Linked DNA regions of Rattus norvegicus. The protein of the gene in region 3 interacts with the protein of the main gene of each other region in a pairwise test. Links are inferred from orthologs where the notes say so. Each region holds a gene or a part of one and is shown on either strand. Other genes may lie near its edges.

Region 1 (4,430 bases), on a different chromosome or scaffold from region 3:
GCAAGACACCGTGACTGCCAGAGGAAAGTAAGTGATAAAGCCAGAAGCTTTATTTTTTGTGGAATTCTACTCTAGATAAGTACCATTCTCCCATTTTTTACAACTAAATAAGCAAGCAAACAAAACAAAACCCTAATCCTAGCCAGTGAGATAGCCCATCTAGAACTGGGGCTTGCTACCAAACCGGGTGAATTTGATCCCTGAAGCCAACATGGTGGAGGAAGAGAAATTACTCAAGCAGGACATCCTGGACCCCTACATGCCATAGCACAAGTAAATGCACACGAACTAAACACACACACGATTAAAACAAATTTTAAAAAAGCATTAAAAAACAAAACAAAACAAAAAAACCAACAACACCAAAAAAACCCTAGGCCCTCCCCACCCCTGGCCCTGGCCCCAAGTGCAAGGAAACAAAAGCAGTCTCTGACACTCAGACAGGTCCTTTCCCCCGAGCAGGTCCAAATAAACATAGAAAACCTGTACGTCCAGCCATTCAACAGAGATGGGCCAACAGTGCACTTAAAACTTCCTTCCTTCCTCAAAGGGTAAATCAATCGGTGTCGGAAACCCACACAACAAAACCATGGGGTACTTATCACAGAACCTTTGCAGTCCTCTGACTGCCTTACACGCCAAGAGAATTTCTTCGCATGAATTAGCCTGGTTGGGAAGCAGAGAAGTGAGGCACGGAGGCCCTCAACACACTGCACAATGACTGTCTGGAATAAGTAGAAGAGTGAGCAAATTCTGGGCTTCAGAGTAAGAGGACACTAACTGTGCATCCTTCATCTTTCCAAAGAAAACCTCAGAATACGCTAGGGAGACATGGTTCTTTTTTTTTTTTCTCTCTCTCTCTCTTTTTTTCGGAGCTGGGGACCGAACCCAGGGCCTTGAGCTTGCTAGGCAAGCGCTCTACCATTGAGCTAAATCCCAACCCCGAGACATGGTTCTTAAGCGCTGAACTTGGTGTGCGCACTGGGACGATGAAGACCGTCCATGTGACCCAAGGGAAAGAAACAAGGCAGAGAAATAGCACGTAAAAATACACTCTGGCCTTCCACCGACTGATTTCCCGAGTGGGCAGCCCAGGTATCCTTCCTGCCAGTCGTAGGCCGGACCCGGTCGCTAAGTGCGGTCCCTCCTTTACCGCCCACCACCTGACATTCCTACCATGAGCCTGTCGCCTGCTACAGGAAGTACGCCGACCTTGTCCCCGGAAACTTGAAGGGCTCATGCGCGGGAGGTTAATGCGCTAACTCAAGGAAAAAAAAAAAAAGTACTACGGCTTGGGAACTGTAGTTCAAATTTTGTATCCGCCCCGAGTGTCCCGTAAGCCATTAGAGAATCTTCCCATCGTGCCTTGGAGTTCCGGGGCTCGGAGCGGACCCGGAAGTTCCGGGTGGAGTTCCGGGTGCCAACGAGTCTTCTGACTGGAGAAATGGCCACGCTCTGTCTCTTTGACATGGATGGGACCTTGACTGCCCCGCGGCAGGTAGGCGGCGCCCGGGGAGCTCCTGGTGGTGGGGCAGAGCCCTTGCTGCCCCAGACCGCCGTAAGGACTGTCCGGGAACCAGTAGACCTAGGTCCTGAGCGGGGTCCTGAGTGGGATGCGCAGGAAGAGGGGGCCAGAAAAGCCTTCCGAGTAGGAAACGTGTTCAGAGTCGAAAAGTTCGGGTCCGAATTTCTTCTAGGGTTCCTCGGGTCTGGTGTCCTGGATTGAACTCCAGCCTCCACCCTCTGACCTGCTGTGTCACCTCCCCAGCCCTGTCACCTCTGACTGTCTCTTCTAGTATATCAAGGGCAGGTTTTCAGCTGTCTGACCTTGAGCAAATGTCTTTCGCGGAGTCCTTGAAGCCCCTTTAAATGTGATGCTTAGGTGAGGATCACAGAGACTAATTAGAAAGTCCGGTGGGACTTCCTTCCGCTAACCGAACTTGTTATAGCCAAAGATAAGTTTGTGTGGGTTCGTTCTGGTGATGGCATTCTCTCTGCCTCCTATGCACAAATGCATGATTGAACAGAAATCATACAAATGAGAGTAGGCTCAAATAGCTTGGGTGTCGCCACCTCTGCCCCACCCCTTTTAGATTTCGTGGACTGTGTCCCAGAAGCCCCTGTAGTGTGTGTAACCTTAGATATGTCAGTCTATCTTTTTTTTAATTTTTTTATTCCTTTGCAATTACATGTGTACAGTGTATCCGATTGTATTCACCCCCCCCCCAACCTTCCTGTGCTCCCTATGGAGAACACTGACCCACACACCCTCTTCTGTTTTCATGTCCTTTTTAAAATTTTTATTTTAATACCTCTCTAAGTCCAGTTAGTGCTACACACACACACACACACACACCACACACACACACACACACAGCCATCCATCAAGTGATAGGCAACATATCACCCATGCTGAAATGTTAACTGGCTTGATCTTGTACAGGGAACCATGGTTGCTGAATTCATAATGTCCAGAAGACAGCATTTCGTTTACCACACTTCTCTCCATCCTCTAACTCATACATTCTTTCTGCCCCCGAGCCTTGGCAGGGTTGATAAAGGGTACTACTTATTCTTAGCACTTTGACCAGGTATGAGTCTGCATTAACCACTGCCCACTACAAAGAGAAACTTTTCTTACCAGGGTTGAGAGCAGCATTAATTATGGGTATAAACATAGATATTTAGAAGGCAATTTGACAAGATTTCCATTTAACAAAACAACAACCATAGGTTTCCCCACAGTGCCTATGAGCTCCACAGTCATAGACTTTTGACCAAGTACTGTACGAGGCATTAATTCCTTCCTGTGGAATCGGCCTTATATTCAACCAGGAAGTGATTTTGCTACCCCCAAAACAGTCATTCCACCATTGCACAAGCCAGTACACATTGCCCAGCAAGTCAGTGCTGTCTCGCAGGACCCATGGCTGGGAAATGCCCCAAATGACTTTCCTTCCACCGTGCTTTACATAGCACCTTCCAGCACTATGAAAGCTAAACATGCCAGTTCCAGCCTGATGTCTCTGTGTCTTGAAACTGAAGTGTGCAGTGTCTCCAGCAATATGGATTTACCATTTAGTTAGGGTGGGCGACCAAGAGCAATTTCAATAGCCCGTGTTATTTTGGGGTCCTAGTTCTCTCTGGTCAACAATATCCCCCCACACCTGGAACCAACGTTTTTGTTCTTTGTTGTTGTTTTTTAAATAATTCATGTCCTGTAGAAGACATTTGTATGTATACATACTTTACCAAGTAGTAGGTTTTCAGAAAGCTTTTAAATGCATCCTTAGTTGTAGTTGAACCACAACCCACCCTCTTCTGTCCCTCATTCTACTTTTCTGAGCCAGTGTGATCTGTCCAGTGATGACATTCCACTACCAGTTCTCCAGAGCCCTTCCTGACTTAGCTTCATTGCCCAACACACACTGGTGAGTCAAGCCAGTAGCTACATGGGCAGGTGGCATAGGGTTTTAATCCCTTCAGGGAGATTTGAAAGTTCAGGGCTAGCCTAGGCTATATAAAGTGTTTGAGACAAACCTTCAGAACTTAAAAGCCAATAGTAGTCTAGAGCCGGGAATCAGAATTCGTATTTTGTCAAGGGTCATATATTAAGTACTTTTGTCTTTGCATATGGCCTGCAGTAACTACTCAACTTTAGTGCAAAAGCAGCCATTGACCATATATAAAGAGTGACTATGTTCTAATAAAACTTGATTACAGAGGCCATTGAGATGTGGTCACCCCTAAGCCTTAGGACCTGAGTTCAATTCCTGGAGTCCACATGATGGAAAGAGAGAACCACCTCCAACAAGCTGTCTTCTGACCTCCCCTTGTACATTGTGGCACACATACATGCATACACATAATAAAAATAAAATTATTATAGAAACTGCTCTTCAGTTGGCCCAGGAACCATAGAGGTTTGGTTTGTTTCTTTGGGTAGGTTTTGGTTTTTCAAGACAGGGTTTCTTAGTGTAGCCCTGCCTGTCCTTGGATTATTTCTGAAGACCAGGCTGGCCTCGAACTCATGGAGATCCACCTGCCTCTGCCTCTCAGATGCTGGGAATAAAGGCATATACTACCCAGCTACCACCATTCTAACATAAGGAAATTGAAACTAGTAAAGCCCTGACGCCTCCGCTCCTACAGCAGCTGTGGTTCAAGGTCCTGAACTTCAGGGCACTGTTCAGTGTCCTAATTGTCATTCCCTTTTCCAGTGCCAGGACGGAGGCCACTCCAGGTACTAGATAAGCTACAGGGAAACTGCCTCTGTGTCCCTGGATAGCAAAGAAGAGCCTGGTGACCAGAATGTGCTTTCAGCATTTGGAACGATATGCTTGCAGTGATCACGGTCAATTGCAGCAATAAAAGAAAACTAACTTAGAAGTGAAGTCTCCTATATGCTGGGTACTGCAATTAAAATACTC
Region 2 (4,749 bases), on a different chromosome or scaffold from region 3:
CGTCTGAACAGCTGCCGGAGTGACAGGCCGCACCAGGACGGCCACTGTCTTTAGGTGACTTTGGCTTGCTGTGTTACAGAACGTTCCAAGATGGTGGGAGTGCTTTATAGCTCTAGTGTCTCGTGGTCACGTGATCAGCGTCAGGCAGGAACCAGATCTTAAATTTAAATTTTAATCAATACACCTGCGTAGCGGCTTTTGCCAGTATGAGTCTAAATAAATGGCTTCCAAACTGGGGCGCACACACCCCAGGAAGAGACAGGAATGCACAGACTGCAGGAAGAAAATGTAATACTCCATATATTTACATCATTATTTGGTATGTCTTATTTAATATTTAATAACGAGGTAAAGTGTAGTAGACATATAGGTGTACACATAGAATATGCATGTTTCAATACTTTCCATCATTCTTACATAGCACTTAGCTTGTGCTTGGCATGTTACAAATATTGATTATCTAATGACTCCTTGAGGCACTCTTATTATCCCAGTTTTACACACGAAAGAACTAAGGGTAACTACCCCAAGGAAACGGGTATCGTAGTTGGTGGCAAAGCCGAGACTTTGAGTTGTAGGCGGTCTGGTTGCATCTTTGTACTTAAAGCTAAATAAGTGTCTTGGTAGGGAGGGCAATGTTTGTTACACAGACACCGAAATAGGGAAGGATGGGAAGAACTTAAAGAATTCCAGGCACAAGAGCAAGAGGAAAACCAACAGGATCACCTCCCCCCTTCATTTGTGGATAGAATAGGTCGGTGGACCCACTAATTCAACAACTGGCTCTCAACCTTAATGCTTTAATACAGCTCTTCGTATTGTGGTGATCCCCACCATAAAATTATTTGTGTTACTACTTCATAACTATAATTTTGCTGTTATGAATCACAATGTAAATATCTGTTCTCCGACGGCCTTAGGCGAACCCCTGTGATCCACAGGTTTAGAACTGCTCAACAAGAGGTTAAAAAAAAAATCCCTGAAATAATAAAGTTTACTCTAACTCAATTTCTACCCCTCCCCTGTTTAAATGGTGTGCTTTGGCCACCCCACTCGCCTAGATACCTGTGCTAGCTCTCCGCAGCGCCTAGTAAACGCTCATCTAACCCAGCGGTTATCTTAGCACGGAGTCCTAGGTACGCGAAGCAGTTGGCCGAGGCCCAGGCGCCAGGGAAGTTTTGAGAAGAGCAGAGCTCTTAGGCATGAGGTTATAGAGAAGCCTGCGGGACAAGAGTGCGGTGGGCGCAGACCCCTGGCTCGGGAGAAGCGACAGCAGGTGCTCCGCGCAAGGCCGAGCCGGGCGGGGCTGGCAGACGCGTTTGGGTGGCGAGATGCAAAGCCTTTCCTGTTCCTTAGGGAGGCGTGGAGGCAGCTTCCGCCCATTCTTCCAGAGAACTTCGCGGACTGCTTAAGAGCCCTTTCCGAAGGCTAGCCCGAGTCAGGAAAGTCAGGTCTGGCGACCCAGGATTGCCTCAGCCGGTTTCTGTGCGCGTCACCTCTGTGCAGAAGAGCGCGTTCCCCAACCCGGCCCCGGGGAGGCCCCCCAGTGGGTGTGGCCTCCGCTGAAGACCCCGCCCCTCGTGCGGTCGCGTGGGGATGGAGGGGCAGGGCAAGGCGATGGGCGGGGCGAGGGAACCGGGAAGAAAGGGCAGGGCCGGTGTGCTCGTGCCCGTGTTTGGCGCTTGGGCGGGGGCGCGCCAGTGCGCGCGCAGGAGGGAAGCCAGCCCGGACGGCCGTTGTCGGGTTCGACTGGAGGGGCGGTGAAGTCACCTGCGAGCGGTGCACCCGCCGCGTCCGAATCGCGCCGGCCTCGCGGGGCCCCACGCACCCTGCGAGGCTGGGGCCGAGGAGCAGGCAGAGTCCGCGCCCCGAGTCGGCGACGAGGAGGAGGAGGAGTCGCACCCTTGGCGCCGCCGCCCGCACCCGGGCGGGTAGGTACCATGGAGGTCGGGACGCACCGGGCGGCGGCGGGCTGGGGAGGGAGAAGCGAAACTTTGCGGGCGCCTGTCCCCGCGGGCCCGGGCCAGCCGTGGCGCGGGGAGGTGTTGGCCCGGGCGGCGGCGGCCGACGCCATGTTGGGGTCTGTGGGAAACGGGGCGCTCGGGCGGCTCCCCTCCGGGCAGGCGCTCGGGCTGGAACCGCCTCCGTCCCGCCGCGGCGGTCCGCGGGACGCCGCCCCGAGGGCCGGGACCGGGAACGGCGACTGGGGACTTGGACCTCGCGTCGTCCCTCGAAGTTGTGGGGCGCCAGGACTCAGGTCCCCAGATCGTGCGGTCTGAAAACTTGGCAGGGTCTGGGCGTCAGGGGCACGCTGTGTCCCAGCGGTGTTTTTTATACGACTTTATACGAAAATGGCACCACACAAGTTGGCTCTGATAGGGAGCAGTGGCTTACACGCTATTTGGAGTTTTTTTTTTTTAAGTTTTATGATCTTTTGACGAGTTTTTTTTTTTTTTTTAATGTTATTAAAGGCCGAGAGCTGGTTCCCTAAGTACTGGAGTAGCCTTGTATACTCCTAGAGTATTAAAGCAGCACGTTGTGTGAGTGTGCAGTGGAAATGAATAGAATTCAGGTTACATACACCTAAGCCGTAATTCAGACTCCCAAGTGCATTAAATTGGTAAATGCCTTCTTTGTTATGCTTTAGTACGTTGCCTAAGAGACTCGTTAAAGAAACATTAGAGTTGAAGGTTCAGTTGAAACGTTAAGGCACGTGTTGTCTTAAGACTAAAGTGAAATAGCCTAGTGTTGGCTCGTGCCCATATTGCGGAAACATCGCTGCGAGTTCTAGACCAGCCTTGGCTACTGCGTGAGCCTGATAGAAACAAGCCCTCCAAACCAGCCAACCACAACAAACAGAATAGGGTGCAGTGATCGATCTTGACATTTCAATTTTTTTCTTCTTTTTCCTTTTGGTTCCTTAAAAGTGCATGAGTTTTGAGCCCTTATCTGTTTACCCTGGTAGCTTAAGGGACGGGAGGGCTCAGGTTAATTTAGAATTAACAAAGGCTATTTTTAATCACCGTGGGTCGTGATAGCATTGGGAGGTGAATGGTATTAAGATGCTTATTTGGAAAGCTCCTTATAATCACGTCCCTCCGCCCCCCAAACGAAACTGGTGTACAGCATGAAGTAGCCTAGTAAATAAATACCCTTAAAAAAATAAAGACGGCTTTAAAATTTTGTTAAATGGGCGGAAAAGGCTCTTAACAATGCAAAAGCAGTAAACAGGCCATAGAGGCTTCCCTTATTTTACGCTTTAATTTTTTAAAATCACTCATCTGCATGGAGAAAGGGGAGGCGCTCGGCCCCAGACCTCACATGGAGAGGTCAGAAGACAAATTCCCTGAGTTTCTTCTCTCCACCATGTGAGTGTGGGGATGGTTGTCAGACCTGGGGGCCAGCTGCTATCATTATTTTCTGAGCCGCCTTTCTGACCCCTCTACTTTTAATTATATCTCTTTATTGTGTGTGTGCAAACGTGGACATTTGTGTGGTCACATGGTTCAACTGCGGAGGTCAAAGAGCTAAGGTGGGAGTTGCTTCTCTCTTTCCACCTTCTGCCCCTGAGGATAGAACTGAGGCTGTCAGGCCTGGCCTCGCCTCAGTGCCGTAACCCTCGGAGCCGTCTCCCTGCCCCTCTTCTTAGTCTTTAGTAGGTAAAAGTGCTTTCGTAGGTGTGTTGGTCAGCTTTCTTAGGCTTTTCTTTTCTTTTCTTTTCTTTTCTTCTCTTTTCTTTTCTTTTTTTCAGAGCTGGGGACCGAACCCAGGGTCTTGTGCTTGTTAGGCAAGCACTCTACCACTGAGCTAAATCCCCAACCCCAGCTTTCTTAGTTTTTTAAAAAAATTTTTTTCCTTTGAATTTTGCTCCCTATCAGGTCAGTTCCATTTCCTATATATTTATTTTTTGGACCAAAAAATTATTTATCAGAAAGAAGTTACTTGCCTGATACTGCAGATCTTAGCAGTCAAGCTGATGACTCTGTAGGCCTCTGTCTCTAGAGCAGAACATAGCACATCCCTATGTGGGCATTCTCTGCCTACCTTGTTCCTTCTTTTTTTTTTTTTTTTCGGAGCTGGGGACCGAACCCAGGGCCTTGTGCTTGCTAGGCAAGCGCTCTACCACTGAGCTAAATCCCCAACCCTTGTTCCTTCTTTTTATCACTTATCCTTCTCATTCAGGTTTCACTGTAACCTGCTGCTAACAGGCCCTAGTGCAAGGGTACGATGCTGAATTTCTTCTTCTTCAACCCTTTCGGAGGAACGCGGGGGTGTGAGTGGAGCGTGCCTGTCAGCACACTGAGGCCGAATTGCTGAGAGTGTGATTGAGATTCATAGTGAGACCATGTCTCAAAACCAACCAAAACCAGAGCAACCCTTAGACCTGTCTTCTTTGAAGCTTTCCGCCCACTGTGCAGTCATGCTTCCTCTTTCTCAGCAGGAATCTGTTCTCTTCCCCCTCGGTGTCCTAGAAGCACTGTATAGGTCTATAATGGCCTGCCCTAGACAGCAGGCATCGGGTGGGGTCCCGTTTGCTTGTTCTTCAGCAAGCTGGGGCGGAGCAGATGCTCAGGTGAGGTCTGAATGTTTTCACTGGAAATAGTCTTCATGAGCTCTGGATAGTTACGCGGCTCTGTAGTCTGCCCTATGTACCACGGACTCTGTTCAGTCGGTGGATGAGGTGCTTGAACTTTCTTTTTAGACATAATTAACTTTGGTGACTGAATTTTGGCATGGGCACACAGACTT
Region 3 (4,557 bases):
AAAAGCTAGACCCAGCTGAGCAAATAAGGCATTTCCCACTGCAGCTTCCCCATAGTTGACCCTCCTGGAAGGAAGGGCCCTGAACCCTCCCCCCCTACCCCACATAAACAGCCGAGTTGTTAAGCAGTTCCTATTTTCAAGGCCCTGGAGAGTCAGCAGCACCCCAGCAGCTGGGGGGCCTTCAGACTGGACACCGGGACTTTGACTGGAGCAGAGCATGGCCCAGGAAGGAGATAGGGCACTCACCTACTCCAAGGCCCTGCCACCAGCAGGGAAGGGCTTGGTCAACAACCCCTGAGAACTGTTGACAAAAGGTTAGGTGACCTTATGAAGGTCTTTGTCCTCTCTCAGCTGAGGCCCCTATATTAAAGGAAGGGTGCCCAGGGCCACACTGCACCACTTCCAGTTCTCTGTAAGGCCAGCTGCCAGGCCTCATGAGAACAAAGGTGAACCACGGTGCTCCATTGTCCCCACACTGACAGTGCCATGGGGTGGGGGAGGGTAAAAGAGCAGACTCAGGCTACAGTGTGATCTAAGCGGCTTTGACAAGGTTACCTAGAGGGCCCCAGCCACCCAGAAACCCCGAACTGTAAGCTTGGTAAGCTTGGACCTACAGCAGGAACAATCTGGTTCCTCCATGACGTCAGGACATGCTGGGACACAGGGCGTGACCTCAGAGCCCACATGCAAACAGTCAGTGGTTTAACTGGATGGGTAAGTGGGCTGCATGGTTCACTGCCTTTTTCTTCACTGACCTCTGAACAGTGCTTGGCTTCTGCCAATGGATAGCTGAGCTCAGTAGGAGGGGCAGCTGTGGGTCAGGGGACCAGGACTTCCCCAGGACCCCACAGAGGCATCAGGGAGAGGAAAGGAACACACTCTGTCTTCCAGGTCCAACTGTCCCCTGTGTTCAGTATACCCTTAGCTACTCTGCCGAGCCTCAGTTTCCATGTCTGTAAACTGGGTCTGAGGGTTATTTCCCAAAGCAGAGCTAACAAAGCTGTTTCAGTTACAGCGTCCTTGAAGGCCATCACAAAGAGTGGACAAAACATTTTGCAGTTTTGTTTGAAGCATCAGTGAGCTATAAGATTTGAACTCCATAGGTCACAGCTTTAAAGAAGTAGGAGGTGGGCCATGTACTGCAAAGACAGTGGCAGGAAAGGAGGCTCCTTTCCCGGTGGTCCCCAAAGTACAGGGCTGCTGTGGCCAAAACCAAGCCACTGCCCACTGCCGTCTGCCTTCAGTAGCCTCAGGGAAAGCGCTTCTCTCCGAGGATCCTAACAGGACACCACGCAGGCCTTGTCTACCCATGTGGGACCAGGCACTGAACCACCGTATTTATTAGTCAGCAAAGCCAAGTCCTTTCTGAGAAGAAGGAGACATGGTTCCTGATCAGGAATCCCTGGGCAAGTGCGACTTCCAGCAGGAGTCCCCAGAGACCCTTGCAAGTAGAACTTTCCCTGTTCCCGGAGGACAAGGAGAGGGCAAGGCTAGGAACCAGCCCCAGAGACTTGGACCCATTAGGCTGAGGGGGAGTAGAGGCGGAGCTTAGGGAGTAGGGGCGTGTCCCTGGGTACTTTGACTGCCTGGCTCTCTGCCCAGCCACCGCCTCCAGTTCTCCGCCAACTTGGCACAAACATTTCCTTCCGGGGGCCTGCAGGCCAATAAATACAGTGGATGCATTGGGCCTGTGGCCTAGGGCAGCCCAGGCTCAAGCCAGCAGGTAAGAGGCCTCGCAGAGGCTCCGGGCCTGTTCAGAGGAGGGTGTAGAGGTGGCCTGGAACCTAGACACTACCATCTATAAAATAGTTCTGTGGTGATGGTGTGGGTGGGAACAGTCTACCTTCTGAATGTCTGAGTCCCCTTCTCAGCTTCGGTCCTGGGAAAGAAAAGTGGGGAGATCAACACCCATCCTCAAAGAACGTTCCTGAAGAGGGACTGAGGTTGCAAGGGGGACAAAAATTTGGCGACTGGCGTCTTAAACTTGGCTTCTGGGTACAGGTGGGTCATAACTGACATCACTAACCAGCTACCTTCACGAGCAGCCTCCTGCCTCAGACTCTTCAGGGCCTGAGAAGCTCACCTACTGTCCAAGCTTCTGGATACTAGGCTCCACGTCTCTTGTGTACTCCTTCCCACACTGAGATGTGCTCCCTGCCTGGGTCCCGGAAGCCCCTGCTCCGTGTGGCTGTGACTGGGGGCACCCATGGGAATGAGATGTGTGGTGTCTACCTGGCCCGGTACTGGTTACAGAACCCAGGGGAGCTGCAGAGACCCAGCTTCTCAGCCATGCCAGTTCTGGCCAACCCAGCAGCCACAGCTGCCTGTCGCCGTTACATAGACCGTGATCTCAACCGCACCTTCACACTCACCTTCCTTGGGTGAGTACCCTCAGCCAGGTTTGCTGGTCCACAGCCAAGTACTAGCATTCCTACAGACTGGCCTCTGTGGCTAGCAAGGCACCTCTGCCTTTTCTTAATGACCAAATGATTTAGAGAGGCCCAGACCCATGTCACCTCTTTCAGGAAATCTACCCTGACTGTAGGCTGGCTCTATCACTGAACCTTAGGCCAGACTCTTACCAGCTGGAGTGAGACACACATGGAGAATAGGACTAACATGTGAGCCTCAGGTTACTGGAGACACAGCAAAAGACTGGGGTGGAGGTGGGACTACATGAAGCATCTGGCCTGGCCAAGAGCAATCAGGGAAGGCTTCTTGTAGGAAGTGGCATCTAGCTACACCCCCCCTCCCCTGCCCAAAAGTGAGAAGTTAGCCAAGGAAAGGAAGACTGCAAAGATGTGGACTGATGTCCCCCATTCCTTTCCCCACAGTTCCACCGCTACCCCCGATGACCCATATGAAGTGAAAAGAGCCCAAGAGTTGAACCAGCTACTGGGTCCCAAAGGCACATGTCAGGCTTTCGACTTTATACTAGACCTGCACAACACCACAGCGAACACTGGGGCCTGTCTCATTTCTGAAGTCTCCCAGAACCCCTTCAACTTGCACCTGTGCCACTACCTACAGGTGGTCCATAGAGGGCAGGGAGGAGGGCAGGGAGGAGGGCAGGGAGGAGGGCAGGGAGGAGGGCAGGGAGGAGGGCAGGGAGGAGGGCAGGGAGGAGGGCAGGGAGGAGGGCAGGGAGGAGGGCAGGGAGGAGGGCAGGGAGGAGGGCAGGGAGGGGACAGAGAGATCAGTGCCACCTCTCTTCCCCGGGGCCTGCCACCTGAGGTACTTCAGACTCACTGTAACCTTCCAAACAAGGAAAAGAGGTGGGTCGGGGCAGGTGACCCTGTGCTTCCTGTCCACTGCTTTTCCCAGCGTCAGTGCCTCAGTTCCCCCTCTCAAGAAGGCCTGGGTCCTGACTGGTCCCTCTCACTCCACAGCTGCAGAACCCGGGGCTGCCCTGCCGCCTTTTCCAGTTTGAGCCACCTGGGACAGAGTCCTACAGTATGGATTCTGTGTCGAAAAATGGAATCTGTGAGCTGAGGGGTGGGGAGGAGAGCAGGGGGTGGAGCTAGAAAGGCTAGAAAAGACCCCTGGGCCTGGGGTGTCTGCCTGACATCTTCTTTCCTGATCCCCAGCTCTGGAGCTGGGCCCCCAGCCTCAGGGCGTGCTGCGGGCTGAACTGTTCTCCCAGATGAGAGCGATGGTGGCCTCCATTCTGGACTTCATCGAACTCTTCAACCAAGGTGAGACTGCCCAGTAGCTTTTAGGGAAACTGAGGTCTGAGGAAAGGGCTGGCTTCTGGAAACCAGAGGAACAAGTGGTCACACACAGCCTCCCCACAGGCATGGAATTCCCCGCCTTTGAGATGGAGGTCTACAAGAACTTGGGCAGCGTGGACTTCCCACGCACCACAGATGGTCACCTGACTGGCACTGTGCACTCTAGGCTGCAGGTCAGTGTGGCAAGGGTTGGGGGGTAAGGGTACCCTGAACACCAGACTGAGCCCCCAGTACCTTGGAATCCTGAGCTGGAAGTAAGCTGGCCCAATCCACACTTGCACCTAGAGCCTCGCCCTGGGTCTGGCATTTGGAGAAGCTTAAATCTTCACTGTGGGATGAGGGAGGCTGGTGGATACTGTCCTCCTTTAACTGGAGAAGCAGAAGGGAGGAGACAAGACCCAAGTCACCTGCTTCGACGTGCAAACGTTCTTTTTCCATGCCTGTGAGCTGACTGTCCGCATGGGGTCGCTGTTAAACAGGGTCTTGTGCAGTCTGGTAGCCTTTTTCTACAGCAGTCTTAGTAGTTTTAATCTTGTTCTTGACATCTGGGAGAGCATCCTAAGCCAGCCCTGCCCACATGCAAATGTTGCATAACATCAGCTATATTGGAGAATCTACCTTAAAAACTATAAACACGCTCTCTATTTTGTCTGAGAAGAGACTGTAAGTATACAAGAATGATTCTGGTGAGAGTATTTCTTGATGGCATCATAGCCATTTTAATTTGCACAGTATGCACCATGATGTTCTTGAAACAGCAAAATCACCCTCGTGACACATTTCTCAGAACTAATCTTGTCTCTAAGCAGTGCTCCTTGGCAAGAGT

The links. The genes of interacting proteins can lie anywhere in the genome.
Region 1: the proteins of Acy3 (region 3) and Pmm2 interact in binary tests that used the Homo sapiens proteins (3 or more experiments, as listed by UniProt). The two-hybrid records come from large-scale screens. The link is inferred for Rattus norvegicus from reciprocal best matches to the Homo sapiens genes ACY3 and PMM2.
Region 2: the proteins of Acy3 (region 3) and Plekhf2 interact in binary tests that used the Homo sapiens proteins (3 or more experiments, as listed by UniProt). The two-hybrid records come from large-scale screens. The link is inferred for Rattus norvegicus from reciprocal best matches to the Homo sapiens genes ACY3 and PLEKHF2.

Annotation. Positions count from the first base shown.
Region 1 is NC_086028.1:7,486,505-7,490,934, reverse strand, and holds the start of Pmm2 (phosphomannomutase 2), read left to right. Parts: upstream 1-1,380; 5' UTR 1,381-1,444; coding exon 1,445-1,498; intron 1,499-4,220; exon of another isoform or gene 4,221-4,430. Other genes in the region: Tmem186 (transmembrane protein 186), read right to left, coding at 1,177-1,179. UniProt on the Homo sapiens protein: Involved in the synthesis of the GDP-mannose and dolichol-phosphate-mannose required for a number of critical mannosyl transfer reactions.
Region 2 is NC_086023.1:28,900,674-28,905,422, reverse strand, and holds the start of Plekhf2 (pleckstrin homology domain-containing family F member 2), read left to right. Parts: upstream 1-1,699; 5' UTR 1,700-1,931; exon of another isoform or gene 1,932-1,946; intron 1,947-4,749. UniProt on the Homo sapiens protein: May play a role in early endosome fusion upstream of RAB5, hence regulating receptor trafficking and fluid-phase transport. Enhances cellular sensitivity to TNF-induced apoptosis.
Region 3 is NC_086019.1:210,707,664-210,712,220, forward strand, and holds the start of Acy3 (N-acyl-aromatic-L-amino acid amidohydrolase (carboxylate-forming)), read left to right. Parts: upstream 1-1,673; 5' UTR 1,674-1,723; exon of another isoform or gene 1,724-2,001; 5' UTR 2,002-2,145; coding exon 2,146-2,381; intron 2,382-2,834; coding exon 2,835-3,030; intron 3,031-3,389; coding exon 3,390-3,483; intron 3,484-3,587; coding exon 3,588-3,695; intron 3,696-3,794; coding exon 3,795-3,904; intron 3,905-4,016; coding exon of another isoform or gene 4,017-4,052; exon of another isoform or gene 4,053-4,557. UniProt on the Homo sapiens protein: Plays an important role in deacetylating mercapturic acids in kidney proximal tubules. Also acts on N-acetyl-aromatic amino acids.